Daphnia pulex: one gene and its partners. The protein of the gene in region 1 purifies or fractionates together with the protein of each later gene. This does not show direct contact. Links are inferred from orthologs where the notes say so. Each region holds a gene or a part of one and is shown on either strand. Other genes may lie near its edges. The genes, in order: MRG/MORF4L-binding protein-like, vacuolar protein sorting-associated protein 72 homolog, chromatin modification-related protein MEAF6-like, inhibitor of growth protein 3-like and histone acetyltransferase Tip60-like.

Region 1 (5,297 bases):
CGTGTGATTATTTTCTTATCGAATCCGTTTTCTCTTTCGGCCCTCCGTAGAAAAAGAAAATCAAATAACCGCATCTCTCGAACGATTTAACAGACGCCGTATACCCTACGGTCTCCCACCCATTTCGATTCCGTCTGGCCTTCGTCTTTCTATTGGACTTTGCGAATCGCCACCAATCACGTGGCTCTCTCTCCCTACTCCCGCCACGTAGTAAAAAAAAACTACTATTACTACGACTACTACGACTACTACTACCACCGTAGAGTGTGTGTAACACATACACACGCGCGCTCTCGCTCACGTCAACTCGAATCAATTTATTAATTTCTTTCTTCTTCTTCTTCTTGGCTTGTGTTCTCATTTTCTTCATTCTACTCTCATTCGTCCCGCCCATTTTCTTTTTTTTTATCACTGTACATAATTTTCCCGCGGGAATTTCGCTCTTATCTTTTCGCATCTCCATTCAAAATTCTTTTTTTTTTTCTGCGCGTGATTTTCTCGCTAGATAACAAAAAATGTCGACGTTCAATCCCAAAAAATGAAGGGCAGTAAAAAATAATTATTTTCGTCGTAAATCAATCGGCTGACTGACTTCTTGCATGGAAGGAAACGAGAGAACAAAAAAAAAGGCGATGGAATTTTTTTTTTTGTTTTTTATTTTGGGTATGAGGATGGAATAGTTTGGGCGTATTCCACGTCATCACGATGAAGGAAAGAAAAAAAAGAAGAGTAATTTCCTTTATTTATTAATTCTTTTTCTTTTTTTGTTTTTTTTTTTTCACGAAAATATTTTTCCCGTCCTGCGCCGCTGCTCTGTCGTGAATTGAAAATAAAAAAAATAGGGAAGCGGATTACACCATCGGCATTTTCCAGTCGATCGGACTGAAGGAGTTTCACGAATTCCTGGTGCTGCCATCTAGCGAGCAGACGACTCAAACGGGACGGCGTCTCCTCGACCAGGGCGTGGAGGCCCTGAAAAGCCGCACCAGACGCTACGCCCGTAAACAGACGAAATGGATCGTCAAGCGTTTCCTTGAGCAACCCGATCGCCAGGTGATTTTTGAATACCATCAATCAAATGAAATCAAATCGGCCGATTTTCTGATATAATTTAACCAAATTGTTTTCTCATTCTCAGGTGCCTCCGGTGTACGGACTGGATGCCACGGATGTGACCGAGTGGAACGAGAAGGTCCGCGACGTGGCTTTCCGGATTGTCGACTCTTTTGGCTCCGACGAGGAGCAAACGGGAGACGGGAGCGAGTGCCGGCCCAAGCCGCTGGCCGTCGCCGAGACGACGACGCGGGAAGAGCAAACGTCCTTTCACTGCCCGCTCTGCGAAAAGGTGACGGTCGGCCAGCGCCAGTGGCAAGAACACCTCGGCAGTAACCGACACCGCAAACTGGTCAAACGGGCGGCGACCAACGGAGACGGCCTCGACCAGCAGTCCAAACCTAGACGACGCCAACCAAGGAGCGCCAAGACGGACCGAGCTGACGAAGACGAAACAAACGCGGGCGGATCGCAGGAGGCGGCTTTGACATCCGCTCAGGCTGCCCAGGAGGAACAGCAGCAGCAGCCACAACTACCATCACTACAAATAGATCAGCAGACCTCTTAAACAACCAACGTTAGCGCGCCCAGCCTGCCCGGCAGACTTTGAAAAACAACACAAAAAATTCCCGTCTCTTTCCCTCTAGATCTTTTCTTCTCTTTCCGGAAAAGTCCTTAAATGATCCGGCGTCGTTTAATGATCCGCTTCCCTTTCATTCTTTTTTCTCTTCTCCAGGGCAGCCCGGCGTGTTGTGTGATATTTCTCCCGTTTGCCGGCCAATGTTTCGCACAATAAAACCAAAATTTGTAGAAGGAAAAAGCTGAAACTGAATGATAGTCAATTTGTCTGTGTGTGTGTTTTGTAAATTCTTTGGCTGAGCTGGGAAATGTTTGGGGGCTAAACGGCAATACACAAAAGTTTAGTACTAGACAATGAAGAGAGATGGAAGCGATTTCTATGGGTTTTTTATTTTGCTTTCTTTTCACCGTTGAAATAAACGCTGGCTGGTTTTCTACGCCTCAATGGAGTCGGCCGGCCTGCACGGCAGTTATATCATGTAATAACAGTTGTTTGGAGAGGAAAAAAATTGACCAATAGCTCTTTTTGTGTTCACCAGCATTTATTCCGTGTGGGAGGAGGAAATGGCTGTTTTGTGTCGGGACTCTTTTCCGCTTATTTTATTTTGATTTTACAGGGCGGATATTTCGTTTGCATTTACACACACACCAACGCCAAAAAACTCTCCTCCGTATTATTTTATTTCTTTTCCTTCCCATTTTCTGCTTACGCTTCGTGATCGTGATGATTCAACTGGTTGTGACCTTGGGAAATGGACACGGGAAATGGGAAAAGTATTTCGTCGGAATGTTTCGCCCAGGACATTCTAAGAACCGTGCCTGATTTATCATTCGACAATCTTGGTGTTGTTCAGATAACGATTAACTAACGTCGCTGGATTAAATAAAACAGGATGTTTGTTTTGTTTTGTTTTCTCTCCATTTTGGCTGACTGAATTAATTTCTGTCGGGTCAATTATGAAACATTTATACAACAACAGTTTTTTTAATTAAATTGTGAAAAAGAAAAAAAACAAAAACAAACTGACTAGCAGTTGAATAGTTGAATCACAGATGGCGTGTCTGCTAGCATAGCAGACGCACCTAATCCTACCAAAACCAAATCACAGATGGCGTTGCGGAGTGTGTGTGTGTAGTATTTTCACTTGTCAGAAGGGAGCCGGTTGTTATTTTCGTTTTCCTCAACCACTAGTCGAACGTCGGAGAAATCTCCATTCAATATCAACGTACTCAGTTAAAATCGATTGAAATATGGCCGTTAAAGAAAAAACTGAAGGAAACGAAGAGACTTTGGAGGCTGCAGAAGTGGAATGGGGTACCGTCGATAACGAATTGCAGCTGTTACAAATTCTGTGTGGCACCAGACCCATAGGTAATAAGATAAACGTTTGAAAATGACGACGATTTTCTACACTTGTTTCACAGCAGGTTTAATTTGTGTTAAATATTTAAAACATTTTCTTTTTTACAGGAATTAGTAAATACTTTCAAATGGCCTGCATCGTAGAAAAACTGGCAATGAATCTGAACAAAGAAGTCACTTCCAAAGGTGTTTGGGATCACCTGGCGAGCTTGTACGATCTCAAGAAACTGGTTTGTTCACTGTCATTAATATTCACTGTATTGTTTTGTATTAAAGTGTTTGTTTCTTTCTCTAGGATGAGCACGAGACGATTCCTTTCCCCAACGAAGAAATGGACTTTGTCCTTTCCACTGAGGAGTATGGCGAATTGATGGATAGCAAATTCAAGGATGCTGAATCCAAGAAAGTGATAAAGAAGGAAAAGGAAGAAGTTAAGAAGGAAAAAGTTCCTGAAACACCCCAGCCAATTGAAAAGAAAGCTGTGAAAAGAACAAGAGCCAGCACTGCCCCAAGCCCTGGAACACCGCAAATCACTCCAAAACGTCGACGAATTTGAAAACAAGAAGATGAATGACTTTTTTTTTTTTTACCATGTCAACTTTTTCGGCACTCGTACATTATTGATTGCGAAACCGTTTAATGAAATTTTGTAACTCGGGTATTGTGTTAAAAAAAAAATTTCGGCCGGACTAAAAAATGACCGCCCACTTCAAAATCATGCGTTTGAATTTTTATTCGTTAGAAAAACCTTTCCATCTTCAGTTTAATTACCTCACTTATTTTAGAGAGTTAAAAAAAAGTTGTCGATACGATTTCCTGTTTCTCAAGTGTATGAAAATTATAATAATTAAAAATGAATTCGACGTGACCACATTTCGAAAGAGTTGTTGGAAGAGGCATCGGAAGGAAGAGAATGCACCGGTTTTGTAGTGCGTTTCATTGCCACTTGAAAGCGCCCCAGTGCAGCACTGCGAGCAACTGTTTGTTCTGTTCTTCGGTTTTTTACAGAGCCCTCGCCGACGATGTGCTGGGATTTGCAACGTGTATTTTCATTCGTATAAAAAATTGATTGAAGAATTTATCTAAGTCGGGTAAGAACAACATTGATCAATAGTAGGTTTCTCTATCGATTCCAAAACGAAGCCAAAGTTGAGATAATTTAAGGATGAATCACCATTACATTTTCGGCCATGTGATGTCGCCCTATGAGTGTGTGTCTGTGTGTGTATCAAGTGAAGAGAGGGAGGACGTCACACACTGAATTCTTGAAAAGCTCATCAAATTATGTGTGTTTTGACCGGTTTTCTCAATCTGTTTGGCATCTAGTTGGAGTAATTTCAGACGGTAGTTGAATTTTTAAGTTGATCTCGTGGTTAGAGACACACGATTCGGGCTACAAATGGATACCGCCTGATACGGCTATTGCCCAACCAGACACCCCTTGTGTTTACGTTAACATCGTTTCAATATTCTAATTTAATACGTTTTTTCCCTGTCTTTTCACAGTTGTGGCTCTCGGGAAGGAATGGCCATGACGCTTCAAGGATCTGTCTTGACCAATGGAAACACTGCCACGAACTTTGTTCCTCTCAAACTGGAACCCAACAACAAAGACTCACCGGAAGTGTTTCTGAACGAAGCCAGCAATGGTTTTGGTGATTGTGAAAAGAATGGATTGAACAATGGTGAAGTTATTGAGGAAGTTAAAGAAACACCTAGTGAAGAGCCAGTCATTGATATTACAATCAACAATGTGGTATGCAGTTTCAGTGTTAAATCCCATCTCAACTTGAAGCAGATAGCTCAGAATGGCTACAATGTTGAGTACCGTAGAGAAAATGGGGTAAGATTCAGTCACAGTCTCTAATCGTTTTCACAGTTTTTGGATTTCAATTTACGTTTCTGTTGCAGATGGTAACCATGAGATTACGGAAACCCTACACTACAGCTTCAATCTGGTCCTCAGGAAAAGTTACCTGTACAGGGGCAACAAGTGAGGATGAAGCCAAACAGGCCGCTAGACGAATCACTCGTTCGGTCTCCAAACTAGGCTACCCAAAACTACGCCTAGTAAATTACAGAGTAGTCAATGTTCTGGGAACTTGTACAATGCCTTTTGCGATAAAAATAACGCCTTTTTCAGCCAAACACAGAGATATAGCCAGGTTCGTAAATGTTTGATGAATTCGTTTTATCTGTGCTGACGTGTGTGTGGCTTTGATTCAGTTATGAACCTGAATTGCATCCTGGAGTTACATATCGTCTCAAGGAACCTAAGGCCACCCTAAAAATCTTCTCAACA
Region 2 (6,238 bases), on another chromosome or scaffold:
CCTATTGCACCGTGGAGTCCACGGCCCTCTAGTGTCACATAGTGCTATTGCACCGTGGATCCACGGCGCTCTAATGTCACTTTGTGCTATTGCACCGTGGATCCACGGCGCTCTAATGTCAAAATATGCTATTGCACCGTAGAGTTTAGCACACACACCGTCACGTTTAACTAAAGTAACCCTGTGTCGTAAGGCTGGTGCTCCTTATGAAATAATTGCCGACACTCGCACATCCAATAGATAAGGACTGATAGGATAAGGACTGTAAAGCATGCTCTCCCAATAGCCAATACTGCCTCCCAAGATTCACCTTGTGGCTTTAACACAGTCACTCCTACTGCGGCTGCTCATAATAGCAATTATGTCAGCTGTGATCGACCTAGTCAAAAACAAATTGTATATACAAGTGTCGACCCTTTTAACCTTCAAAAAGAAAACGGACCTGCATTGAAATGTCCAGCAACTACAGTTATTATGTTAGTATACGCTAGCTAGCGGCATATACCGCTAATTTTGGAACACATAGTTCGCTTTCTGCAAAGGGCTTAAAATAAGACTTAATCAACACGTGATGCCCAATGGTTGTCCAGTGCAAATTAGATTTACCTACTATGGTACATGTGAAAAAAATTTGCGATAACAAAGCTGGAACCCATGGGCATAGAGAGACCTCTCCATACCCCTGCTGGAACTAGCTCGTCCGCGCCACCTGGTATCCACGGCGCAATAGCATATTTTGACATTAGAGCGCCGTGGACTCCACGGTGCAATAGATTTTTCCTTTTTCGAGAGTGACACTTGTTACAGACCACTTGTAGACAGCAGCAGTGGGCTTCATCAATTCGTCGGGCCCTTTTTCTCCGTAGGGTTTAATGGGCTACAGGGTTGCCACATGTCATTGTGTTTCACCAGCACTCCTTCTTTGCTTCCGCCTCGCACTGTTGTTGCTCAATTCTTTCGTAACTAACTCGGTTTCTCATATTTTAAATTGCTCAAATGAAAATAGGACAAGAATATTTAATAACGGGTAAAATTTTTATTTTTCATTAAACAGCGTAAGAAAGCTGAAATGAATTTACTGAATTCGTTAATTCTATTATTGCAAGATACTGCGCAATCATCTGTAAAAGTTATGACGTAGACGGTGCTGCATTTCCTTTATTTCGCAACACAGAAAATACCCAGCATTGGGACGCTTCATTAGGATCTTCCTGCATTGATCACTGATAACAAAATAATCTCGCCTGAAATAAAAGTTTGTCTTTATTTTTATATTTTAGTGTAGATGATCCCCGTCTATGACATCCAATGTGGGATGTACACAATCAAAAAACAAATATTCACAATTATAGCTCGATCCTTTGCGGTGACTTTCTTGGTCTGATATCGGACGGCTTGAAGACAACTACGTTTGGAGCGCTCACAGTGGACTTCAAATGAGTTGGAACATCTTTTCCGGAAGGATCCGGATCAGCTAAACTGATACTGGACACGGCAGATCTGCAAATCAATGAATTATGAGTACTTTTAATGACGTCGAAACCATTTTGAAATCTTACACTTTAAAAGATTTTGAATCTTTGGCTGACAGATCACATTGCAGTGCAAAAGCTCCGTCTCCTGGCATAATGAGCTCCTTATCATGCTGTAAGATGAGAGTCACTTGAAACTTTTCTCCATCCTAAAAAAATTGCACATTAGAAACATGAGACGTTAGACGTGTTGATACATTCGTTATTCTTATTGCACGTACATCCTCAACATTGCACTGATCGTATGGTATTTTGAGCCGAAAACGACGGCCACCGTTAGCATCTAGAAAGCACGGTGCCTTTCGTGAATAGAAGCTGCCTAAGTCAGAGAAAAATTTAGAAACGAAAATTTAAATTTTAAATCGATATTTTCTCTTGTTTTGTACCTCTGGTGTATATGACTCCTCTAAAATCGGCCAGTGTCTCTACTACCACTTGAAAATTGTTGCTACCGCAGTCTAGCCGGATCTGATCGAACCCCGAAGCCGTCACACCAATGTTCATACGCCCAGTCACATCTTCCCGCCATAATTCTGCAGTTGAAGGGAAAAGTGGTAATATAATTGAAATTACTTGACTTAGACTAGTAGGATGACGTAATTCTTGCAAGATTCCGTAGTTTCTTAACAAAAACATATCAAGTTAAAACGCTTTAATGATTCTCACCTTCTCCTCTTGACGTGAACAGACACAATAAGAATGTCAGAGACAAGAGCACAAAATCACGGACAAACATTTGATAAAGCTTTCAAAGAAATGGTGAGATGGCACCGGAGTCAGTCAAGCTGAACTGGTTTCAAGACTAACTGCATGCCGGTCTTTGTACGGAAACACCTGAGTTTTCCATCTGTCAATGACTTTCTCTGGGTTATTCTAGCCTCAGGTGATTTTTTCGTTCTTTCAGATGAATGCCAGAAGTAAAGCTTACTTCCGTGCGGCAGAAATAGCATGCACCGGCGGGAAAATTGGTTTTACTTTTGATTTTGAAAAATAACAATTGTAAAATTTAATTATACGTAAATGGTGAGGAACTGGCAAAGTAGCGATACCCACTGAGGCAATATTTTAAGGGTCAATTTGTGAAATGGTTGGAACTGGTTGGAACTGGCAATTTTACTGATAAAATGCAGCAGAATAATTCGTACCTTCATTTAAACAAAAATGTTATAGTCATGTCATGAATGTGTGTGATCTTGTCTTTTGCTTTTTCATTGTGTTCATCAACCTGGATAAGGATCGGGATAAAGAGCTTGAAGTCTGTAACAATTTTAATATTCTCTTTAAAGTGGTTCCTCAACACAAAACGTTATAACAAACAAGGTGAAGTGTTTTCAATTCTTTTTCTTAGTAACTAACTTCAGTCTTAAAGGGGAAGGACTGAATGAAGATTGAAGAACAAATATAAAATGAAAGAGACAGAATTTCTTTTTTTAGGTACAGTACGTCTAAATCCAGGAGAAGCAAAGTAGAAAGAATGAAAGGAAAGGCGGAAAGGTTTCTGTAGGATATAACGCCACCTAGCGTTGTGATTTAGCAAGAATTAAGTTTGGTTTTAGTCAATAGATGGCTTTCTGTGGCGTTGGCGTCTGCTTTTCCAGTTGAGGTTGTTTAGAAAAAACTAATTTTTTTGTGTAATTTTAACGTGAACTTTGTGTTCTCAGATCTAGTAATTGAATTCTCATAGTGTTTGTTTAGTAAAAAATAACGTCTATCTGTTAAAGTTCATCATGTCGCTACAACGTGAACGGCGTGTAAATGCGGGCAATCGCTTGTCAAAATTACTGGAGGAAGAAGAACAGGATGACGATTTCTATAAAAGCACTTACGGTGGATTCAATGATGAAGAAGATGACAATGAATTCGTTTTCAAGTAATTTAAAGTCTAAATTTGTATATTACATCAATAAAACAAATCTTTTTTTGGTCTAGAGCGGAAGAGGACCAGGATGACGTAGTAGACTCAGATTTCAGCATTGATGAAAATGATGAACCTATCTCTGATCATGAAGATGAGGGCACTAAAAGAAAACGAGGTGTAGTCAGTACCAAAGCGTACAAGGTATGTCTATTCTACTACAGAATTAACGAATGAAATCATTTTTAAAAATTTTCTTAGGAGCCTAAAGCTTCCTCGAGCAAACGCTTAAAGGGTGACAAAAATGCTGATGAAATGACAGAAAGAATAGCAAAAGCTGGAGAAAAAACAGAAGTTCCTGTGGAAGTCCCGAAGGTCAGGTCGAAATATGCCAGAAAGCCAAAAATTCCTTCACAGGCCAGAGAAAAGAAGGCAGTAAGGCAAACAACTGTATTGAAATCAGCTGAAACTGTACAAAGACTCAGGGAGAGAGAAACAAAAGGGAAAAGAAAACACAACAGGTTAGCATTAAAAATAATTCTTCATTAGAAATGTTTCAAACCAATCATTTATTATGATGTAGAAGGGACAATTCTGAAAAGTTAACCCAACAACAGCTTCTAGAAGAAGCCAAAGAGACTGAATTGCTTAACATTCAATCATTGGAAAAGTATCACCAACTTGAACTGGAGAAAAAGAAAACTAGGGTCGTGAAAAAGGCTCCTACTGGACCAACAATTCGTTACCTCTCGACGTCAATGCCTCTGATCCAGGAAGTCAACCCGGAAGCCGAGCGAATTAATGTCGAAGAAGATGAGGAAAAAGAAGATAATCCAGTTGTTGAGAATGGCACGGTAGCCACAGTCGACAGCAAGCAGTGTTGTGAAAGAACTTTCGTTACGTTTTCGAATGACAGTGTCTTGGAGGCTAATTTCAGTCGGACGAAAGTCACTCCACCTCAAAAGAATTTTTGTCCTATCACCAGGTCGGTTTGAGTGATCGTCTTCTCTTAGATGAAAGGGAAATATCATTCGTTTATCATATCTCTTTTCAGGCAAAGAGCCAAATACTTTGATCCGGTGACTCAGCTGCCGTACGGCACTCTACAGGCCTTCCGGATTTTACGTGAGGCCTATTGCCAGCAGCTGGAGGTGAAAGGAGACGCCAGCGATCCGGAGATCGGCCGCTGGAAGGAATGGCGTCAAAAGTACCGCCAAGCTCGACTCGCCGCTCTAGCTGCCGCTCGCGCTCAACAGGTCAACGCGCAGGGAAACTCAGCACCTGCATCGACGCCAGTTCCAGCAGTCAAACCCTCCAACTCGAATAACTCCACACCGACGATATGAACGAAATTCTCCTCATTTTTTGCAACCGACATGAATAAAATGGACATTTTTTGATATTTTCTTTCGACCATTAGACAATTTAGGGTTTCTTTCAACTCGATTTGTGTTTCATACGAACTTTGTCAGACTAGCAAATGTTATCGATGAATTATTCATAGGTTAAATCCTATCAAAAGCGTCTTGCTACACCTGCCGACAAATAAGTTGGCAGTGATGATGAAACCGGAAGGCGATCAAGACGTATACCATGTTCTTTAAACTTCAAAACTTGTACTATTGTGCTGCTCTACTACTAATTCAGTTGACATTAGTCACCCAGCAGTTGGTTCCTTACAGCGGAGCTACTCGTTTTGTTCCTAATTGGTGGACTGCAGGTAAAATCAGCCATTTTAAAAATGTGTTTCCAAAAATAATTTGAACAGCTCATTTTTGTCTTTTCCATTGTTAGCAAGACGTCAGCATTCAACCAAAACATTAAAGCCTCTTATCTTTTGTCCAGTTCATCAAGCGGCAGGCGGAGAGTGTCGCAATTCCGAGGATTGCTCTGCAGACGAGTGCTGCGTCCGCTCTACGGGGTCCCGTCTGCACCGGTTCTGTTTGCCGTTGCGTCAGACGGGCGAAGCTTGTCGACTCACTCAAAATCTTGTTGATCCATCACATGAACAACATCACGTCTATTTGAACCTCTGTCCCTGCACCAACGGCCTGGTCTGCCGTGAAATTCACGGCGGATGGGTTGATGCCGAATGCGTTGCATCACGCAATCCGGCTGACCTACTTCGCCACTCTTTCCTCCAAGCCATTTTGAACGCTATGAAACAGCGCCGACAGCAGTCGAATAGTCGGCGCAACCGAATTCCCGTCAATTCGTTTTCAAATTAAGGTTTATTTTCTTTTTTGATACGGCGCGTTGACCTTTTCACCGATTCCGGGTGTTGCAATACAAGGAATGTCCGTTTCCCCCCCCCCTATCTCACGATAAGTCTAATATGTAATATAACGGAAATAACCACTCCCTTTTTCTGTGTTGTCTATATAGTACTATGGGCTCAACCCAAAAAACAACAGACGAGTATAGTTGCGGTTTCGTGTTGACAAGAACAACACGCAGCAGTTGGACGGTAAATCATCCGGTCGGACAATCGTGAAAACGAAGAACTTCTCGGTCATCCTTGTCCCAGCACAAAACGCCGTTATTATTATATTAGAAGTGTTTTTCTTTTAAGTTGCGTGAAATGTGCAGCCCCGTGCAGTCGTGCACTTGATAGTGGCAAGTTCATTTACTTATTTCTATGCTGCGCATGTACACAACTCGACGACGACGACAGCCAACAACCCCCCTGTGACGGATGTGCACTTTCGGGTCATGCGCGTTGCAGCGTGATCAATACAAGAGAGACAACAGTCGGCTCTGTAACGACCGCGCGTTGTACATACTCGGGGCGTCTTGCTGAAGATAGTCCGGTGAGTTGTTGTTGGACCTTATCTCGCCAGGAGCGTTTCAA
Region 3 (5,269 bases), on another chromosome or scaffold:
AAAATATACATAGGAATCATTTTACCTCGATGATTTTTTTCAAGATGGAACGAAATCGTAGTTGCATAGCATCAGCTTTCTTCTTCAGAAGCCTGTGGCCCGTTTCGGCACCCTTCAGGCGAGCCTTCATGCCTGTCTGGGCACTATTAGGCTAATTATTTACCCCATTTCATCAATTCAAAGTTAAATTAGTTAGAAACTTACCCTCGAGACGGAAAAATAGCAATCTTATCCTTTCCAGACATAGCTGCTTACTCTTGGATATCACTTGTGTTTCTGACTTTAGCCTCCCCTCAGCTGACAAAAGAGAAATATGGGGATCCGAATGCCTTGTGATCGCCCATAAGTCACATGATATTCTCCTGTATGGTCCTGTAGCCTAGCGCGTGACTTGATTACGGTCCGAGATAAGACTAAACAATTCAATCTCAACAGGTGACGCGATAGCGCTGCAGCCAGAGCGGAAAGTTTCATTTCTAGTCGGACACTCCAAACAGACGGAAGGTTTTTGAAGAAAGTGCATCAAGAAGAATCAAAACGAAACATGTTTGAATCGAAAGTGTAAATTGCAATTAGTTATCTTTTTCTGTGGCTACACCAACAACACCAATATAAGGTAAGGAATGAACAAAACAATAGCAGTCACAATAATAGACTTGCACATCAAAAACTATTCGACATAGATTCGGATAATATCGCGCCTAATTATTATTTTTCTTTGTCGTCTTTTTTGTTCAGAAAAGAACATCCTCGTCATGTGCGTCATCGAGTATGTTGGCTGCTTCGTCTTCAATTTTCCCTTCAGCTTTACGTTTTGCCTTCTCCAGCTCAGCCTTGGCACGTGATATGCGCTTCTTATCTTGGATTTTCTTCAACCTTTTAAAAAGAGCAACGCCCTTAAATGGCTGGCGAGTATTTTGAATAATTGTAATAAATACCGGTAGAATTCTTCACGTTCTAGCTCGTCAAGTTCTGAAATGATGTAGGCCAGTGTCCGTTCAATACGAGGTATGATCACTTAATAGTTCAAGAAATAAAGTTTTACTTATTGACCAATTTGTTTAGATGAAAATGCATTTTACCGTGCTCGATGGCGTTTACTCTTCTATTGGTCACCTTGATCACCTTGTCGAGCGTGATGAATGACGTCTGCAGAGAGGCAAGCTCCACTAATAGTGTAACAGCTTTCTGGTAGTTTTTCTTCAGCTTACCCAGCTGTTGACCTCCTCTAGCCAAACCTGCCAGCTCATACGTATCACTACCATCCTGGTAGCTCTCAAACACTGGCAAATTCACACCTGGACACAACATAATAGTATTTTAAAGCAATTATTTTTGGATGATTTCAAAATTATTTACCTGCCACATTGTCTTTTTTAGACCTGACTTTGATCTGAGCCTTTGTGACGTTTTGCAGTACTACCTGATTGAAGTCACCAGTTGCAAATTTGGCTTCAGCAAGTGAAAATGCAGCTTCCTTCATCACATCTCCCATTAGTACTTTTGTCTGAAACATTGAGTAATAATTATTTTGTAATGCCAAGTAAAGTAGATACTTAATTCCTTTTCAACTTACATCAATGATCTTTTTCAGGATTGAGCGGAACCTCATTTGAAGAGCATCTGCCTTCTTTTTAAGAAGACCATGGCCTTTCTGTGCACCGGCAAGCCGATGTTTCATCAAAGTCTGTGCTCTGATTGTGTCAAGAGAAAGGAATTAAACCAAAAACTTGAAAGTTGTTATTGAGCTCTAATATGTTCTAAATTACAACTGAATCGTCTTAAAGATAAATATGACATACCCTCGAGAAGGAAAAATGGCAATTTTGTCTTTTCCCGACATTGTGTGATTAAAACTGGATCTGAATAATACAATACAAACGAATAGGGTTCGTAAGAGGGTTTAGTGTGTGGTTACCGAATTTTGACAAGAATCATCTGATCATGTGACAACAAGAGAAGGAAGAGAGGGGGAGGAGCAAATGAGCTTTCAAATCCATCTGGCGATAGAAGGATGAAACATATTTACGTAATAAGTCTGAATCGGAAAATGAATTGCGAGAACATTGGAATGTTTAATTCGAGCATTTATTCAGAAAACCAGAAAATTGACACACAGACATAAAGTTTGTTTAACACTTAGGAAGGTACATTCATAAGGGCATTCACGAAACCATGTTATAGAGAATAGGAAAATGAACAGTGAATATGAAATTATTTCAGTTTTGACTTCTTGCTCCCTCTTTTATTTATATGTCTGGATTTTGAAACTTTTCCTAACTTATCACCATTGACCCCCTCTAAACCGAGAAAATCTCTGCTGTTTTCGTCACTTCCACTCATTCCTGCTTGTGATTCAGTTTCACTGCTTCGTTCTGCTCTCTCAGAATTCAGATCAATGATCCCGCTCACAGCCTAGGTTTGAAAGAAATTTTATTTCTGTTAATTCAGTAGAAGTGTCATGCAATTCTACCGCCATAGAAGTAATTGAAGACTTGGAGAAAAGTCTTTCATTTTCCTTGAATTTCCTGTTCCTTTTGTCAGATGAAGGGTTTGACAGTTTGCTAGTACTGTTTAAATAACGGTCCCATCCTCGAATAATATTTCCGTAAAGCTGTGTATCTTCCAGGTAACTACCTTCGAATGCATAAATTTGTCTTTCCAAGTTGGCTAGGGTTTCCTACAAAACACAAATATAAACAATGAAGTAGGCAGTTTTTAAGGTTAAATTTGAATTCATTCTTACGGCGACTTCGATTCTTCGTTTGACGAGGTCAGAAAGTTCAGATCGTAAATCGGAGCTGGATGTATTTTTAGTCATTTTACAAGCCAAAATTTCGCCCTTTTCTTTTGTTGTTCAGGCGATGCTGGCGGCCATTTAATTTCGGGTTTCTTTATTGTCCGCCATGTCGCTAGTGAACGTGGCGGTGCAGACAACGTTATTCAAATGGCGGGTATACTGCCGGACGAAAAAAAGAGCTGTGATGATAACGAGGAAAAAATCATAAAATGTCCCCCTAAATCTAAAATTGGCTATGTATATTCACCGGAATTAATTCATCAATGTAATAGAGTACCAAACCTGAAGAACAGGGTAACATTTTTTTTCCATTCACCACTAAAAAATGTCACAGTTAAATTTTGACATACTTAAGCATTATGTACAACTAACTTTCAATAGTACATATAACGTATTTTGATCTCACTTTTGCTTTGTTTCTTTTCAGGCCTCATTAGTTCATCATTTGCTGGAATCTTATGGACTCTTAGATCATGTCTTGCTTTTAAACTGTGATAAAGTTAATGATGACGTCTTTCAAGGATTTCATTCTGCCGATTACATTGAATTCCTCAAAGGTGATGTGGATGTAGAGGATGAATCCAGTGAGGAATATGGTTTAGGTAATATGAATATGGAAACATGTAATGGAAATGTTAATTTATCACATTAAAATCTAATCAAGGATTTGACTGCCCCCCACTTGACAAGCTTGATGACTTTATCTCTGTGATAGCTGGTGGATCTGTAGCAGGAGCCAAAGCACTTGTTTCTGGATCTGTTGATGTGGCAGTAAATTTCTGTGGAGGCTGGCATCACGCTCAGAGAGATTGTGCATCAGGATTCTGCTACATCAATGACTGTACAATAATTTAATATTTTTATAATGAAAACACAAGGTAAAACTATTGGATTTTCAGGTGTTCTTGCCATCCTAGAATTGGAAAGAAAATTCAAACTCGTACTTTATATTGACTTGGATATTCACCACGGTAAGTCCAACCCTTTTTCAGTGTAAATGTATACAAGGATTGATACAAACCCATTTTTATTTATTTAAGGAGACGGAGTTGAAAATGCTTTCGCTTACAGCCGCAAAGTGTTTACGCTATCGTTACATAAACATGAAGAAGGATATTTTCCGGGTACAGGTTCAGTCAACGACACTGGTTTCGGCAGGGGTCGCAACTATTCATGCAATGTTCCACTCAGAGATGGGGCTTGCGATGAAACTTTCATCCACGTCTTTCAAACGTATAAATTTTCTTTTGTCTCCTTAAAACCTACAATGTGGTTCATCATCATTCATTCATCTGTGACAAAAGAGTTTTCCAGGAAGTAATGAAACGTTTTCGTCCGGAAGCAATTGTATGTCAATGTGGAGCAGATGGCCTAGCTAACGATCCATTAGGGACATTTAACTTGACACCCGTTGCATACGCCCGCTGCACCGCTGTCATCCAGAGTTACAAATTACCTACTTTGTACCTTGGCGGAGGCGGTTATCACAAGGCCAACGCGTCCCGTTGTTTCACTACCATATTGGCAGGTCTACTAGGCGTCGAAATATCATCCGATATCCCGGAACACGAAGTAAAACTTATTGTTGTAAATTTTCTTTATAGTTATCCGTTTTCTTTTAATGATTGATTTTTATTGACAGTATTTCAATTGGTACGGGCCGAGCTTCGAGTTAGACGTCAGTCGAGGTCTCCGACGGGACGAAAACAGCCCCGACTACATCCGGACTCTTTTACAACAAGTTTTCGGTATGTTGCGTCCTTAGTAGTAGCCTATAGTGCAAAGCAATGCGTGTGTGTGTGTTTTTCAAGCCTAAATTTAGTTGCAAGAGAGTTGAAATATTTTCGGCATGCCCTTGACTCCTCGCTCCTTCCATCGCGCGGCTCGGTGACACACACACCACACACGCACATCGAAACTATATAAATAGACGGGATATATGAAATTTATGTAATACCTAAGAACTCCCTCTCTTCTTCTTCTTCTTGGCAGGCAACTTGGAGCAAATCTCTAGCGAGTCGTGAACGTTTTGAATCCATCACATTTCCCTTCGGGCCATTATTGGGATTTTCGAAGGTTTTTTTTTTCTTCTCTTTTTAACTATTAACTACATTTTCGACATTTTACGTAATCAATACAAGACGACAGCCGAACGAAATGACGCCAACACTTTTTTCATTTCATAGATTAGCCGATATCGAAATGGCTATGTCAACATAAACGTCTCCCCCATTTGATTGTTTGACGGGCCTTCACTCGGGAACATTTTGAAATTTCCGTTGAATAAAATTAGACCCAATGGACTCTCCCCTAAAACAAGGTAAACACAAATAGAAATTCGATTTTCGTGATGGTGCTATTAATCCAAATATGGGCCGTTGTGTAAAGAAGAAAAACGAACAACAGCTGTGCGGTCTGCCAATGTGTAGAAATCCACCTACGCCGCCGAGCGGTTTCAGATATCAGATT
Region 4 (6,556 bases), on another chromosome or scaffold:
AAGAACTTAGTCACAGCTAGAAGTCGAAATTTGACACACTACTACGCCTCTCATCAGAGCTGTTCAGGTAAGCACTCCAGATTTCATAATTTCGCATAAAAAAACGATAACATGCATCATAATAACATGTTTTTAAATTGATGCAGGAGAACGATGATTTCGAAAGTTCTCGTATGCATTCTCGTCCCGTTTGTTGTGCTGTCGATAATATTTGATCCAGTGGACGCACAGGCGTGGAACGACGGTGACGGGGGCAAAGTTAAATGGCAATTTGATTGCGACTTTCCCGGCAATGATATCGGAAATCAAAGAGTTCCTGGCGACCAATGTGGCGGCCTTTGTATTAAAACAAATGGATGTAACCACTTTAGTCACTTTAATGGAATCTGCTATTTGAAAAAGGCATCAAGCATCCCTTCCCGTAAACAGACAAGCGGTTGGGGAGGCATATGCGGATTCCTAACAGGTGCACTTAAAGCATTTTGAATATTTTTGGTCACAAAGTCTTACAATATTAAATATTATTAAAATCTCAACATTTTTAGGAAGTAATGAAAATTCCGGCAATCGTAATGTCAAAGGCACTTTCTGGGCGGAGCAATCTGATGCTGGCGGATGTCAAATGCCGCAAGGTGATTACGCGGTAACCGACGCGATTGCTCTTGGACAATCGCAAGCACTCGGAAACCTCAAGTGGCGTCAAGGATTGTGCGGCCAAGTCTTGCGGATCGACTGCGGAAACGGACCGATTGATGCCGTTGTGGCCAGCACTTGCAACCTGAACAGCGATTCCTGCGGGGTGGACATGATCGGCAAAACCTGGCGACGAGCCACTTCGAACAAGTCACCCGGTATCGTCGATTGTAGTGTTTCGTTGACCAACCGAAACCCCTTAAACGGAAATGATGCCATCTGCTACTACCGTCCCAATTCCGAAACTACTAATAATTACTACGCAATCCTTGGAGTCGTTAACACCGGAGGTAGGATCAGTTCGTCAGCTGTTGCGGCTGGAGTGACAGGTCGCCGGAATAACGATGGTTGGTTCGAATTCAACGGATCAGGAAGCCCCAAATTTCAGAAGAATGCCGAAGTTGTATTTCGTTATGAAGATGGATCGTCTTCTTCTTTTCGGCTCAGCAACTGTCGAAATGGAGGACAAGTACAGATATTTCGATAAACGAATCTGGTATGAGGTATAATGAAGATAATTTAACTTAACTTAATCTTTGATTTTAATATAAACATTTCCCTCACTAGATATTTCCCTCACTAATGGAAATCACACCAGCGGCAGGCTACCAATTCGATTCACTGCTACGTGCGAAAATTTCTCTGTAAGCCTGAATGGTTAAATTCAATCTCTAAAAGGTTCTAAATACAAAATTGGACTCAAATCTACTGAGTGTTGTTAAAGATGGAACGAAATTTTTTCGTAAAAAGAAGGTGACGTCCGAACTCCGAAGACACGGATTTTTTAAGAAGGTTTTTTCGGACTTTCGGAGCCCAATTTAGATCGCTTTTCAGACGGCTCTTTCACATAGACACATGAGTTGAGTCAAAGACAAGACAAAGTCAAAGCACACATGTCACTTTTAATTAGTTTTCATGTTATTTATTTCAAATATTTCAATATTTACAAATTACCCGAAGGGTTACTGGTCAAAGTTTCGTTTGCAGTATGGTTTACATGGGCACCCTCAGTTCTCGTAACACTACATAGATGGATGCACTAGTTTTTGGCAATTATTGATTGTAATCAACAATTTTATTGCATTTCAATGGCAGTAATCGGTAGCTTACAATTTTTTACATCTATTCTGAAAATTTGGCTGCAATCAATTCAGGCATTTGATCAAACGGAGTTCTGGTTACTTTTTGACAGAATTTCAATAGCTGTTACAGCAGACGATAATACAGAGACATGTGACAGGGATATAAACGTAACGTGACAATCGACTACTATTGTATGATAGAATAGAAGTCACTGTATGTTATCACCGAACGCTATCAATCTCCAGTAACAGAAGTGCTGATAGGTAGTTACTTAAATTTAATTTTAACAAGATCCGGTGTGACGTGGGGTGGCGGGGCGAAGCCTCCGCCGCACCAAAGTCACGCGGAAATATTCTTTTAATCTCTTTCTCGATTTATGCTTATTACAATCTTCCGGAAACTAAGGGCATAAATTTTTTTTAAATGTTATTAATCCATCTTAATAATAGGCCTACCTTTATAACAGAATATTTTTATTATTCTATAACTATTCTATAGCTCTGTCTTTGTAAAACTATACCAATACTACTATACCAACTAGAATACCCTTAACATTCCCTTCGGGTACCTTGCGGCGTACGTACGCTGCCTACAGTATAACTAGGACTGGCAGTAGGCGGCAGTAGGCTAACACTAGACCAAGTGAGCACAACTCCTAGTGACCAAATTGCTCGCTAGAGGGAATCTGCAGACATTCACTCGCTCGCGTCATCACATTAGATTCCTGTAGATCAACTGCAGAAAAGAAGCAGTGATCCAAGCCATCCGTCAAAAGCGTATAAGAAAAAGAAAATTTCTCAAAACTTAAATAAATTTTATTGTCGATTTCAATCAATTTGTACCAAAATGTTGTACTTAGAAGATTATTTGGAAAGTATGATGAGTGTTTCAAGTGATGATAAAGTTCCCTGATTAAAATTTTTAAATTACCATCTCCCCATTGTAGTGATAGAGCATTTGCCCCAAGAACTGAGGGATCGATTTACTGAAATGCGCGAAATGGATTTACAAGTTCAAAGTAACTCTCGAATAAGTTGTAGAAAATGTAATAGGGATGTTCGGCGTGTCGGGCCGTTTACTTACAGTTTCCAAGTTGAATAAATTAGACACGAACAAAACCGTGTCTTTTACCTCTCGTCTATTTTAACACACTGAATATTGTACAGTAAATTGGGGGGGAATAAACAATAGGGGGGTAGGGAAACAACGACTGAATTTGGGGACCAACGACTGAATTTGGGGCCACCTATCGGGGGCCCCCAAGGCAATAGTCGCGTAGGTGCGCCGGTGTTGTTGTGCGGCGCCCTGATCTCGTCGTCGTCTGTTGGAATGGAATATTCCTAACACACTCCCCACCAGAGCCCGTAGCATCCGGCTCGACATCTTCGACGACGTCTTCCGGTTCTTCGGGAGCTGGCATAGCGTCTCCGATAGCGAGATCGATTTCTGGTTCTGGCAGAGTTGGATTTGGATCCTCTTCCGGCTCCTGGATCGGTTCCGGATTTCCAATTTCGACGTCTTCGGCGAGATCTTCTCGCAGCTCTATAGGGTGAAGACATTGAATGGCTCTATTAATTAAATTACCATTTGGAATCTTGAGCATGACAGAACGGATGAGTCCGTCGCGGCTTGGAATCAGTTCCTTCACTACTCCGGTAGACCACATGAGTCGTTTGGAGTGTTCGTCGTGGATAACAACGACTTCTCCTAGGCGGATCTTCCTTCCGGATTTTCCTTTGGAGTGGAAGTTGTCTAGTTGGAGTAGATAATCGTCGACGAATCTAGCACAGATGTCAGCGACATATTCCCTCCTGTTCTTGTCCATCTCTTGTAGTACGATGCTGGTCGATGTAGGATCCAGCAAGTTAACGGCTGGCTCCGGATCGGCACGAGTAGAACGTCTGTTGTTTAGAAATTGGTTAGGAGTTATCGGAAGTGGATCGTCAGCTCCTTCCCCAATATAGCTGAGTGGGCGGGCGTTGATTACGCTCTCGATTTCTGCTAAACTCGCTTCCAGTTCCATGTAGTCAAGGCAGGCTCGACCGTTGGAGCGTCGCAGCAGATCCTTGACGCTCCTCACCATCCGTTCCCAGAATCCTCCCCACCATGGCGCTAGGCTGGCGGAAAATATCCAAAGGGTTTTTCTGGACGCGAGAAAGTCTTGAATGATGGGATCGGCGTGAATAGTTCTCAGGAATCGGTCGACACATCGGAACGTTTGCGCGTTGTCCGAATACATCACTGAGACGGGTCCTCGTCTAGCTGCGAATTTTCGAAAGGCTAGTAAGAAGGAACGCGCCGTCATATCGGGTAGTAGTTCCAAGTGAACCGCTCGAGTGACTGCACACGTAAAAAGACAAACATAACTTTTAAGATGGTTCGTTTTCTTAGCTTTAGTTGTTGTTATTAAGATGTCTTGGATTTCGACATCTTCTTCGACTGAATCCTCTTCGCCTACGATTAGAGCTTCGATTGGAGCGTCTCCTTCAGCGGGTGGCTCCTCGATTCGCTCTTCAGTTGGATCGTCTGCTGGCGTCGGATCCTGGACGCTTGGTGGAGCTTTCCTTTTCTTCCTTCGCTGTGCTGGTTTGTACAGCAGTGGTCCAGCGAAATCGACTCCTGTAACGTGAAAAGATTGCGCATGTTTGAGTCGGTTTAAAGGAAGAGGGGCTGCTAGTTCTTGCTGTCGTCCTTTAACTATCCAGAATTTTTCTTTTAACTCGGATAGTGTTACTTTTGCTCCTGCATGTAGTAGTGACTCGTGTTTGTCTGTAATTAAGAAAGTGATTACTATATGTGATGCAGGAAGCAAAATTGGGGGATCGATGTTTCTATCTCTTAGGGCAAGTGATACTCTCCCATGGATTCGAACGAGACGGTCTCTGGCGTCCCAGATTGGAAAAAGTGCAGCGATTTTCTCCTTGGGCTGGATTGTGTTGTCTAACTGTAGCGATTCAAACGCCTTAGGATACCGCTCTCGTTGGAGCTGTCTGTAGATCGTTAGTTCCGCTTCATCCAGCTCCTCTCTGGATAATCTTGTAATCCGGATAACTTTTCCACTTCCTTTTCCATCTGGTCCAATTGCCTTTATCGACTCCATTCGTTCTGGACCGGGAGGTCTGAGCTTCTTTTGACTCCTGCTGAGGAATCGTGAGACCCAGGCTGTACGTCTTAACAGTCGATTCCAGGTGGAAATTTTGTCGAGATTCCAGTCGACGGAGGCTGTTGGAATTGCGATGGCTGCTGTTGTGCTGACCGTCGTACTCCTAGCTTCCGATTCCATTTCGGACTGGATTGTTTGTGGAATTTGGTCGTTGGGAGAATCTGGCCATTCCGTTTCTTCTCCTTTGAGCCAAATCGGGCCGTTCCACCAAAGAGTTGAGGTTACCAGCGTTGGCGCTGGCGCTCCCCGCGAGGCAAGATCGGCCGGATTTTGGAGACCTGGACAGTGTCTCCACCACTCGGGTTGTGAAAATTTTCGTATCGTCTCCACTTGGTTTCGGACGAATGGTTTCCATTTGTTCGGCTCTCCTCTAATCCATCCTAGTGCAACCAAGGAGTCTGACCAGTAGATAGTTCTCCAATACTGGACTTGCATTGCATTTTTTACGACTTCACCTAAACGTACGGCTAAAAGTGAGCTCAGCAGTTCTAAACGCGGTAAAGTTACTTTTTTCTTAGGTAGGGGTGCAACTCTCGTTTTGCTGGCCAGTAGGATGATGAGTGGATCTTCTTGTCCTTTTTGGAGTCGGGCGTAGGCTACGGCTCCATACGCTGCTTCAGAAGCGTCTCCGAAGACGTGTATTTCGTGAGAAGTGACTTTTTCGGATAGTCCGATCCATCGTGGAATTTGTAGTTCGGTGAAATCGGCGAGACCAGTCATCACTATCTTCCAAGATTTTTGGATATCGGCTGGCGCTGCTTGGTCCCAACCTATCTCCTTTTCCCAGAGCTTCTGGTAAATAATCTTTAACAAAAGTACAGTGGGAGATAAAAATCCAATTGGATCAAAAATCCTTGCCGAGATACTGAGTATCTTTCTTTTGGTGATTTCCGATCCCACTTCTTCTACTGCTTGGATGATGGATGCTGGGTTGAATTTGAACGAATCGGATCCGGTGTCCCACCGGATTCCTAACACCTTCTGTTGGCCGTCCAAGGCTGGGGAGAGTAGGCCTACGACTTGATTCGACAGTCCTTTCTCCTTCAGGTGTTGTTTGAGGTCTTCGTTGTTGGTTGCCCAGCTTCTCATGTTGAGTTGGGCGTCACTAAAGATCTCGTCCGTCTCATCGACTCTTTTCTTGGCGATTGATAAATTGTTTGCTCCGCCGAGGTAATCGTCAACGTACAAACTTTCTTCCAGCTGTTGAATAGTTTCTGGAAAACGAGACTTTAGTGATTTGAAATGTTTGTTAATTGTAACACGTAGGAGAAAGGGGCTAGAACTAAGGCCAAAGGGCACTCTCTTCCACTTGTAGGCAATAAGAGGCGATCCAGCCACTGCTGGATCCCTGGGCCATAAAAACCTGATTGCTTCAGCATCTTCCGGCTGCAGGGCGATGTTTAGAAAGGCTTTTTCTATGTCGGCGATCCAGGCAATCTCGTACTTTCTGAAGCGTAATAGCACTGATAGGAGATCGGGATTGAGATTTGGTCCGGTCTCCAACACGTCGTTCAGACTTGGTCCAAATTTCGTTTTTGCTGCTCCGTCAAAGACGGGTCTGATTTTCGTCGTTGATTTGTCGCCTCTGAAGATCGGATGATGTGGGAGATAGGTGTG
Region 5 (6,510 bases), about 340 kb from region 1:
ATTTTAGGATGCAGTGGAGGAGTTGGTCATGTGCGATCATTCAGCGTTAGTTTTAGAGAAAGCCTCGATACCGGAAGATACGACCATAAATTGTCGGAAAATGGTTGTGGACGAAGAAACCCTTCCCTTTGAAGAAGAGAGCTTTGATCTCGTTATGAGTAGTTTAAGTTTACATTGGGTAAATCAATTACCGAGCACTTTCTCTCAAATTATGAAATGTTTACGTCCTGACGGTGTATTTATTGGCGCTCTTTTTGGAGGCGAAACCCTGTACGAACTGAGGGGTTCACTGCAACTAGGAGAGACCGAACGGGAAGGAGTATGTTATGATTTTACTACTTTTTAATCGTTTAATGAACTAATTTGTTTGTATCACTGCAGGGTTTCGCTGCACACATATCACCCTTCGCTGCAATCCGAGACATTGGTGGACTTCTTAACTCCGCTGGATTCACCATGCTAACCATCGTGAGAAATATTACACCCCCAAAGATGTTATATTATTAATTTCGACTAACAACGGTGTAAAAGGATAGGACACTGACGAAATAAGCGTAGGCTACCCTTCAATGTTCGAACTAATGGAAGATCTTAAAGGAATGGGCGAAAATAACGCTTCGTGGATCCGCAAACTGCATTTGCATCGGGACACGATGTTCGCTGCGTCAGCCATCTATAAAGGTTTCTTGACATTTTCTTCTTTTTTCTTAGTTTTGCTAATACCCCTCTTGATCAATAGAACTCTATGGAAATGAAGACGGGTCTATTCCAGCAACGTTTCAGATTATTTACATGATCGGGTGGAAACCTGATCCTTCACAGCCTAAACCCCTCGAGCGCGGAACAGGAGAAATATCCATTAAAGATCTCTATCGGCTCGATGAAGTCGTGAAAAATGCCACCGAGAACATGGTCAAGCAAACTGCTAAAGAAATTACTCACAATTTGGAGGATAACGACGGGAAAAAGATGTAACGCTTGTTGTTCTCCTTAATTTATTAGTTTCACAATAAAGCCTTCCATAGTCAACCTACTGGAATGTGATGAGTTATTTGCATTTGTCGGTGTCGCAAGCGACGTGTTTCGAGACACCCGAACAATAGCCTTTTCATGGTTAGTGCTCATGAAACCGACGACCATCGAATCAGTTGTGAAGGCCATGTTGAAATCTATCGAATCTTCGCTATAATACGCCACTAGAACACCACCCATCCGGTCATAGACGTCATCAGACAGCATTTCTGAATGGATGAACTCGTCACACATGAGCTCTTTCAAGTGGAAAGCCGGATCTCCTCGCTCTAATATGGTTTGACCAAGCTTCTTGGCCAAGGTTGTTTGGATGAGTTGCTCGCCACAACCAGAAGTTGACACAGCAACACCACCGGAGCTGGAATGCTGCGCCCAACAACCACAGCCGTAAACTGGCACCTATCGCAATATACACATTGTAAATGACTACTAAAATGACAAGAAGGAATAAAGGAAAACCTGTCCAACTCGGCCGGGAAGCTTCATAGCAATTCCTCCCGAACTCGATGCACTTGCAATGTCACCATTCGTATCTATGCAAATTACTCCTACTGTATCCTAGATTTAAAAAATAACCATGATATTTGGATAACATTACTTTAGGAAACCAAATATATTACTTGACTTGGGTTTGGCTGCACTGTGATCTTTAGCCCACTTGATAAAGCTTTTCTGGATACTTCCAGCCGTTCTTTATATTTCTTATACTTTCTCATGGCTTTGTCAGATATAAGAGTGCTATTGTGAACAAGATTCAAACCTCGGTTTTTAGCAAAATCAGACGCTCCTTCTCCTACTAGAACACTAAAAAAAAGGCTGTGTTAATTTAACCACTCATTTTAAGTGATGCAAATGGTATTTTGAATTACAGTGGAGGTGTTCTACCAAGAAGTCTTGGTTCATTCTGGTATAAAATGATTTCTTTGGCTACCATTATAGGATTTTTAATACTTTTAAGTGATGAGACTGCTCCAAATCGTGTGTTTCTTTGATGTTTCAAAGACAACATGATTCCTGCATCACATTCAACTTCACCGCTCTCAGTGAGATTGGAGCCATATCCTGCATTAGTTAGTGGTGAATCTTCTAATATGCAAACCAATTCACACGTAACATCTAGTGCAGATTTTCCTTCTTGCAATAAAGCTGCTCCCTGGGAAAAACTTATCAAGTCAAACTATGAAACCATGAATCACTAATAGAAAGCCATGCCTTTTCACACGTTATTTTGCAAAGTTTTTTGTAAATAGCTTCAGATTTTGAACTATGGCAGCCTGCTCCAAGATGAATAGCAACAAATCCATACTGTGACATTTTTGCACTTTTATGGTTTAAATTTTGTCGAGAATTTTCATAACCGAAATTTCATTTTACAATTTGAAATGGGACTGATCGGTCCAGTTTGTGAGAGAGCTAGCAGAAGACTACCATTTCCAACCGGCAAAAGCGGCAATGTCGCTCATGGCCGCGCACTGTTGTTTTGAAAGCTTTTTCTCTAATGAAGACCGAACAGTCATTGTCAAAAATGAAAGAAGAGATTGTAGATAAAGATCTGTTTTCAGATTCAACTGTATGAATTTTTACATTATTTCATTAGAAACCATGTTTAATTTTGTTTATTCTATTATCTAGGCATCTGTTGTTGAAGGCTGTCGGTTGCCTGTACGGATGAGAAACACCGAAGACTGGCGTAACATTTGTTGCTTTGTTATCATTTTATAGATTTGAAAGTTTAATTGTGGTTTTTCTTTTGTTATCATTTAGCTCTAGCCGAAGTACTCAGTGTCAAAGATATCTGCAACATCAGGATGTTTTATGTCCATTACATCGACTGTAAGTTTTGTATATGCTATGTTTAACGATACATCATCTTACAAAATTTTTAATTCAACTCTAGTCAACAAACGACTTGATGATTGGGTCTCAGAAGATTTCTTAGATACGAGAAAAATTCAGTTTCCTAGAAAAGATGGAACTCAAGTAGGCACAGGCATGAGTACTCCTAAAAAAGTTGGAGGAACAACTGGTTCTTCCCGTCCTTCTTCCCCACTAGCTGCATCCAGTGCATCAGACCTTACTGTCAATGGGTCTGCTCTACTGGCTGCAGCAATACAAAAGAGAAATGGAAGAAAACGTAAAATTGGAGAAAAAGAAGAGCCCAGTCCAGGATCCATTATTCCAATCCCACCTGCCAAGAAACTTATAAGTAAAGTTATTTTATTTCATTAATTCTTTACATTTTTCATAAATTCTTTTAAATTTTATTTTTATAGAAATTGAAAAAGAATTACCAGCAATCCCCACTCTGCCACCCACCGTAGTTAGCGATAGTTGTGCTGTTCCTACAAGTAATTAGTCATTTTTTCTACAATCTATTTATTATATATAAATGATTATTAAAACTAAAATTTTCTGCATAGGTGATTCAGTTTGTGAGGTAGGAGATGCTAACTCTCCGGCCCCACCGTCCACCCCTGCACCGACTACACCAGGGCCACGTCAGTCGGGCAGTCTTGTTACACATCACGATGACGTTGTAACACGAATGAAAAATATTCAAATGATTGAACTCGGCAGACACAGAATAAAACCTTGGTATTTCGCACCCTACCCTCAGGTATGTCATCATCTAACGAACGTAAAGATCCGAAATGTTTACTATTCTTTTTCAAAAATTAGGAAATGGTTCACCAAGCTTGTATTTACATATGCGAGTTTTGTCTCAAGTACCGGAAAAGTGAAAAATGTCTAGAACGTCATCTGGTAATTTAAAATTTTACGATATATTTTTAATTGGATGATCAACCCTTAAACTTTTTCTACAGATGAAGTGCAATCTTAGACATCCGCCAGGCAATGAAGTTTACCGCAAACAGACAATTTCTTTTTTTGAAATCGACGGCCGTAAAAATAAAGCATACGCTCAGAACCTATGCCTGCTAGCGAAACTGTTCCTTGATCACAAGACACTGTATTACGACACTGATCCGTTCCTCTTTTACGTCATGACTGAAGTGGATGCACGAGGTTTTCATATCGTCGGCTACTTTAGCAAAGAGAAAGAAAGCTCGGAGGACTACAATGTCGCCTGCATCTTAACATTACCACCCTATCAACGGAAAGGATATGGAAAACTTCTTATTGAATTCAGTGCGTACAGAATCGTAAACCCAAGGGGAAATATTTTTTTAAAACCATTTTTGTTTACGTAAAGGTTACGAGCTGTCCAAGTTCGAAGGCAAAACGGGCTCGCCAGAAAAACCTCTGTCCGATTTAGGGTTGCTGTCTTATCGCAGTTACTGGGCTTTTACAATCTGTGATATTCTGATGAATATGAAACCATCCAGTGAAGGTGAACGTCCTCAAATTACCATCAAGTAAGTGATGTAAATTACTTCATTCTAGAGCTCACGTTGACAAACGAATTCGTTTTAATTTAAATAGCGAAATTTGCGAAATGACGAGCATTAAAAAAGAGGACGTGGTGTCCACCTTACAGCATTTGAACCTCATCAATTACTACAAGGGGCAGTACGTACTCATTCTGAACGAAGAAGCGATGAAAAATTGCATAAAAAACAAAGAGAAATGGAAATTACACATCGATCCCAAATGCTTGCACTGGACACCGAAAGACTGGTCCAAAAGAGGGAAATGGTGATGAGATCGCACCTACAATCCATTCCGCGATCTTGCTACTTCTTTGCTTTTTTTTAAAAAATACACTCACAATTTCTATGTACAAGAATTCCAAATTCAAATGTCCTGTTTCTCTTGGTTATTCTTGTCTGTTACGACAACAGCTTCACGGTTCTCGTATGTCCAAAATCCATCCAAATCAATCAAGATATTGATCACAGTTTCACCGTATCCACTGAGCCAGAAAACGTTCAATGACAATCTTATTCTAAAAAAATTCTAAATGAACTTTGTGTGTTACCAGTTAATCAAATCATGTAAAGTGATTTTTGACGGATCGGCAGGACGCACCATATCGAAAATCTCATCATTGACGTCGTCAAAAGCAACGACTTCTTGTTTGTGCTGCTGCATCAACTCTTGAACCCCCTGCAAAGCATTTTTTTTTTTTTCAAGATAAGAAAGTCAAAAGGTCAAATGAGGAAATTAATACTTTGAAGTAAAAATGGAGGTCAAAAGTGTTGAGATGGTTTCGATGATTGACGTCCAACAAACGGAAAAAATACTGAAGTGCTTGTGGTTCCTTTTTATTGTCCATGGCCAATACGAAATCCAAGTACGTTTTATAATCCATTTCTTTCTCATAGGTCATGCACTCCTCGAATACTCGTTGAATGAAAACTCGCGTCAACGTGCCAGTTCCGAATCTGAAAATTAAATTTAAAAAAAATCTTAAATGTACGTACTGCAAATTGAAATATGGTAAATTACCGTCTGAGCTCTTCCTGACAAAGCATGCCGTTTCTGTTGGTATCTAAATTTAAGTATTGACCGTAGACTCTCAGAGCGGAGGGCGCAGAAAACCAGTTTGAATCCTGTGCATCTTTGGGCAGCTCTTCATCCCGTAGCTGATGAATTATAATATTTTTAGCGAGAAGAATGACAAAAGAATCAGGAATATACTAAATACCTCTAAAAGTTCGTCCAGAAAACCAGAAGCGAGAATATCCTGTATCCTGACTTTGCCTAGCTTTAATGGATCTAGGAAAAAGAGGAACTTGCGTACGGCGGTACAGACGTAAAACGAATGGAATGACTTTTCAAGCCCTTCTAACTGTGGCAATGTTGGGATAAGTTCAGTTATGTAGTTCTCTAAATCCTGGGAAAAACAAAAATAGATAAGTAAATTACATATTGCAAAAACAAAAAACATATTGCTGATGTTCACCATTTCAGTAAGCAGACCTTGTCCTGTGGCATCATATAATGAAAGACCAATTCTAGTTTGCTGTAACCAAACTTTCCTCATGATGTAATTGAACACTGCCATGGTTGATATTCTGCCATGAATATCATTCTGCAATAGCCTTGCAAATACATCTGGTGTAAAGAATGCTCTGTATAGGGGAATTCAAAAAATAACTTGGTGTTCCCAATCAAATATTTACATGTCTTACTTATATTTTGGACCAGCTATGTTGCCTACTTTGAGAAAATCAATATAATTGATCATCTGCTCAGAACCAGCAGGAGGGCTGTGATTTTTGTCAAGTAAAGTCCAGAGATTCTAAAGACAGGATGAAAATCTTATTTACCAGTAGCACAAACACTGGCAATGACATTAACAAACCTGCAGTTCATTGTTATCGAGGAGTTCTTTGCTCTTCTTCTGAAGGAATGCTGTTCTAGCTTCTTCTCTCAGTTTAAGGCTAATCATGTTTTCATGATTAGGAAGCTGTGTAACAAAAACATAAGAAATTTATAGGGAATCAATTGGAAGTTATGCTTACTTTGGTATAGAACTTTGGAACTGGCATGCTTTCTTCCGAGCATTGCTTG

Evidence for each region.
Region 2: the proteins of MRG/MORF4L-binding protein-like (region 1) and vacuolar protein sorting-associated protein 72 homolog purify together in Homo sapiens (co-immunoprecipitation; 5 studies listed by BioGRID and IntAct, counting the BioPlex papers as one, with this or other methods). This does not show direct contact. The link is inferred for Daphnia pulex from reciprocal best matches to the Homo sapiens genes MRGBP and VPS72.
Region 3: the proteins of MRG/MORF4L-binding protein-like (region 1) and chromatin modification-related protein MEAF6-like purify together in Homo sapiens (co-immunoprecipitation; 4 studies listed by BioGRID and IntAct, counting the BioPlex papers as one, with this or other methods). This does not show direct contact. The link is inferred for Daphnia pulex from reciprocal best matches to the Homo sapiens genes MRGBP and MEAF6.
Region 4: the proteins of MRG/MORF4L-binding protein-like (region 1) and inhibitor of growth protein 3-like purify together in Homo sapiens (co-immunoprecipitation; 4 studies listed by BioGRID and IntAct, counting the BioPlex papers as one, with this or other methods). This does not show direct contact. The link is inferred for Daphnia pulex from reciprocal best matches to the Homo sapiens genes MRGBP and ING3.
Region 5: the proteins of MRG/MORF4L-binding protein-like (region 1) and histone acetyltransferase Tip60-like purify together in Homo sapiens (co-immunoprecipitation; 8 studies listed by BioGRID and IntAct, counting the BioPlex papers as one, with this or other methods). This does not show direct contact. The link is inferred for Daphnia pulex from reciprocal best matches to the Homo sapiens genes MRGBP and KAT5.

The regions. Positions count from the first base shown.
Region 1 is NC_060018.1:12,248,235-12,253,531, reverse strand, and holds MRG/MORF4L-binding protein-like, read left to right. Parts: upstream 1-2,737; 5' UTR 2,738-2,883; coding exon 2,884-3,004; intron 3,005-3,103; coding exon 3,104-3,225; intron 3,226-3,290; coding exon 3,291-3,551; 3' UTR 3,552-3,710; downstream 3,711-5,297. Other genes in the region: tRNA dimethylallyltransferase-like, read left to right, coding at 843-1,053, 1,139-1,621; TATA box-binding protein-like 1, read left to right, coding at 4,521-4,838, 4,907-5,160, 5,222-5,297.
Region 2 is NC_060028.1:9,609,947-9,616,184, reverse strand, and holds vacuolar protein sorting-associated protein 72 homolog, read left to right. Parts: upstream 1-2,977; 5' UTR 2,978-3,135; exon of another isoform or gene 3,136-3,193; 5' UTR 3,194-3,259; coding exon 3,260-3,402; intron 3,403-3,461; coding exon 3,462-3,591; intron 3,592-3,648; coding exon 3,649-3,908; intron 3,909-3,970; coding exon 3,971-4,372; intron 4,373-4,441; coding exon 4,442-4,733; 3' UTR 4,734-4,789; downstream 4,790-6,238. Other genes in the region: uncharacterized protein LOC124210054, read right to left, coding at 1,347-1,500, 1,560-1,681, 1,754-1,851, 1,919-2,068, 2,199-2,268; uncharacterized protein LOC124210055, read left to right, coding at 4,981-5,107, 5,182-5,615. UniProt on the Homo sapiens protein: Deposition-and-exchange histone chaperone specific for H2AZ1, specifically chaperones H2AZ1 and deposits it into nucleosomes.
Region 3 is NC_060026.1:14,089,495-14,094,763, forward strand, and holds chromatin modification-related protein MEAF6-like, read right to left. Parts: upstream 2,890-5,269; 5' UTR 2,822-2,889; coding exon 2,747-2,821; intron 2,681-2,746; coding exon 2,474-2,680; intron 2,416-2,473; coding exon 2,215-2,415; 3' UTR 2,075-2,214; downstream 1-2,074. Other genes in the region: V-type proton ATPase subunit D-like, read right to left, coding at 26-143, 205-245; V-type proton ATPase subunit D-like, read right to left, coding at 735-876, 939-1,017, 1,083-1,298, 1,360-1,507, 1,577-1,694, 1,803-1,843; histone deacetylase 8-like, read left to right, coding at 2,948-3,094, 3,228-3,402, 3,465-3,641, 3,700-3,771, 3,841-4,033, 4,105-4,372, 4,443-4,548, 4,793-4,824.
Region 4 is NC_060019.1:7,720,327-7,726,882, reverse strand, and holds the start of inhibitor of growth protein 3-like, read left to right. Parts: upstream 1-2,489; 5' UTR 2,490-2,622; coding exon 2,623-2,650; intron 2,651-2,722; coding exon 2,723-2,794; intron 2,795-6,556. Other genes in the region: uncharacterized protein LOC124190484, read left to right, coding at 154-466, 546-1,180. UniProt on the Homo sapiens protein: Component of the NuA4 histone acetyltransferase (HAT) complex which is involved in transcriptional activation of select genes principally by acetylation of nucleosomal histones H4 and H2A.
Region 5 is NC_060018.1:12,584,929-12,591,438, forward strand, and holds histone acetyltransferase Tip60-like, read left to right. Parts: upstream 1-2,479; 5' UTR 2,480-2,530; coding exon 2,531-2,602; intron 2,603-2,664; coding exon 2,665-2,722; intron 2,723-2,796; coding exon 2,797-2,865; exon of another isoform or gene 2,866-2,929; coding exon 2,930-3,238; exon of another isoform or gene 3,239-3,305; coding exon 3,306-3,380; exon of another isoform or gene 3,381-3,452; coding exon 3,453-3,649; exon of another isoform or gene 3,650-3,711; coding exon 3,712-3,795; exon of another isoform or gene 3,796-3,857; coding exon 3,858-4,182; exon of another isoform or gene 4,183-4,246; coding exon 4,247-4,409; exon of another isoform or gene 4,410-4,476; coding exon 4,477-4,693; 3' UTR 4,694-4,780; downstream 4,781-6,510. Other genes in the region: arginine-hydroxylase NDUFAF5, mitochondrial-like, read left to right, coding at 8-319, 382-468, 537-681, 740-975; threonine aspartase 1-like, read right to left, coding at 991-1,431, 1,492-1,590, 1,653-1,836, 1,902-2,185, 2,245-2,346; serine/threonine-protein phosphatase 2A regulatory subunit B'' subunit gamma-like, read right to left, coding at 4,789-4,906, 4,973-5,100, 5,165-5,378, 5,443-5,579, 5,642-5,830, 5,900-6,068, 6,129-6,238, 6,302-6,406 and 1 more. UniProt on the Homo sapiens protein: Catalytic subunit of the NuA4 histone acetyltransferase complex, a multiprotein complex involved in transcriptional activation of select genes principally by acetylation of nucleosomal histones H2A and H4.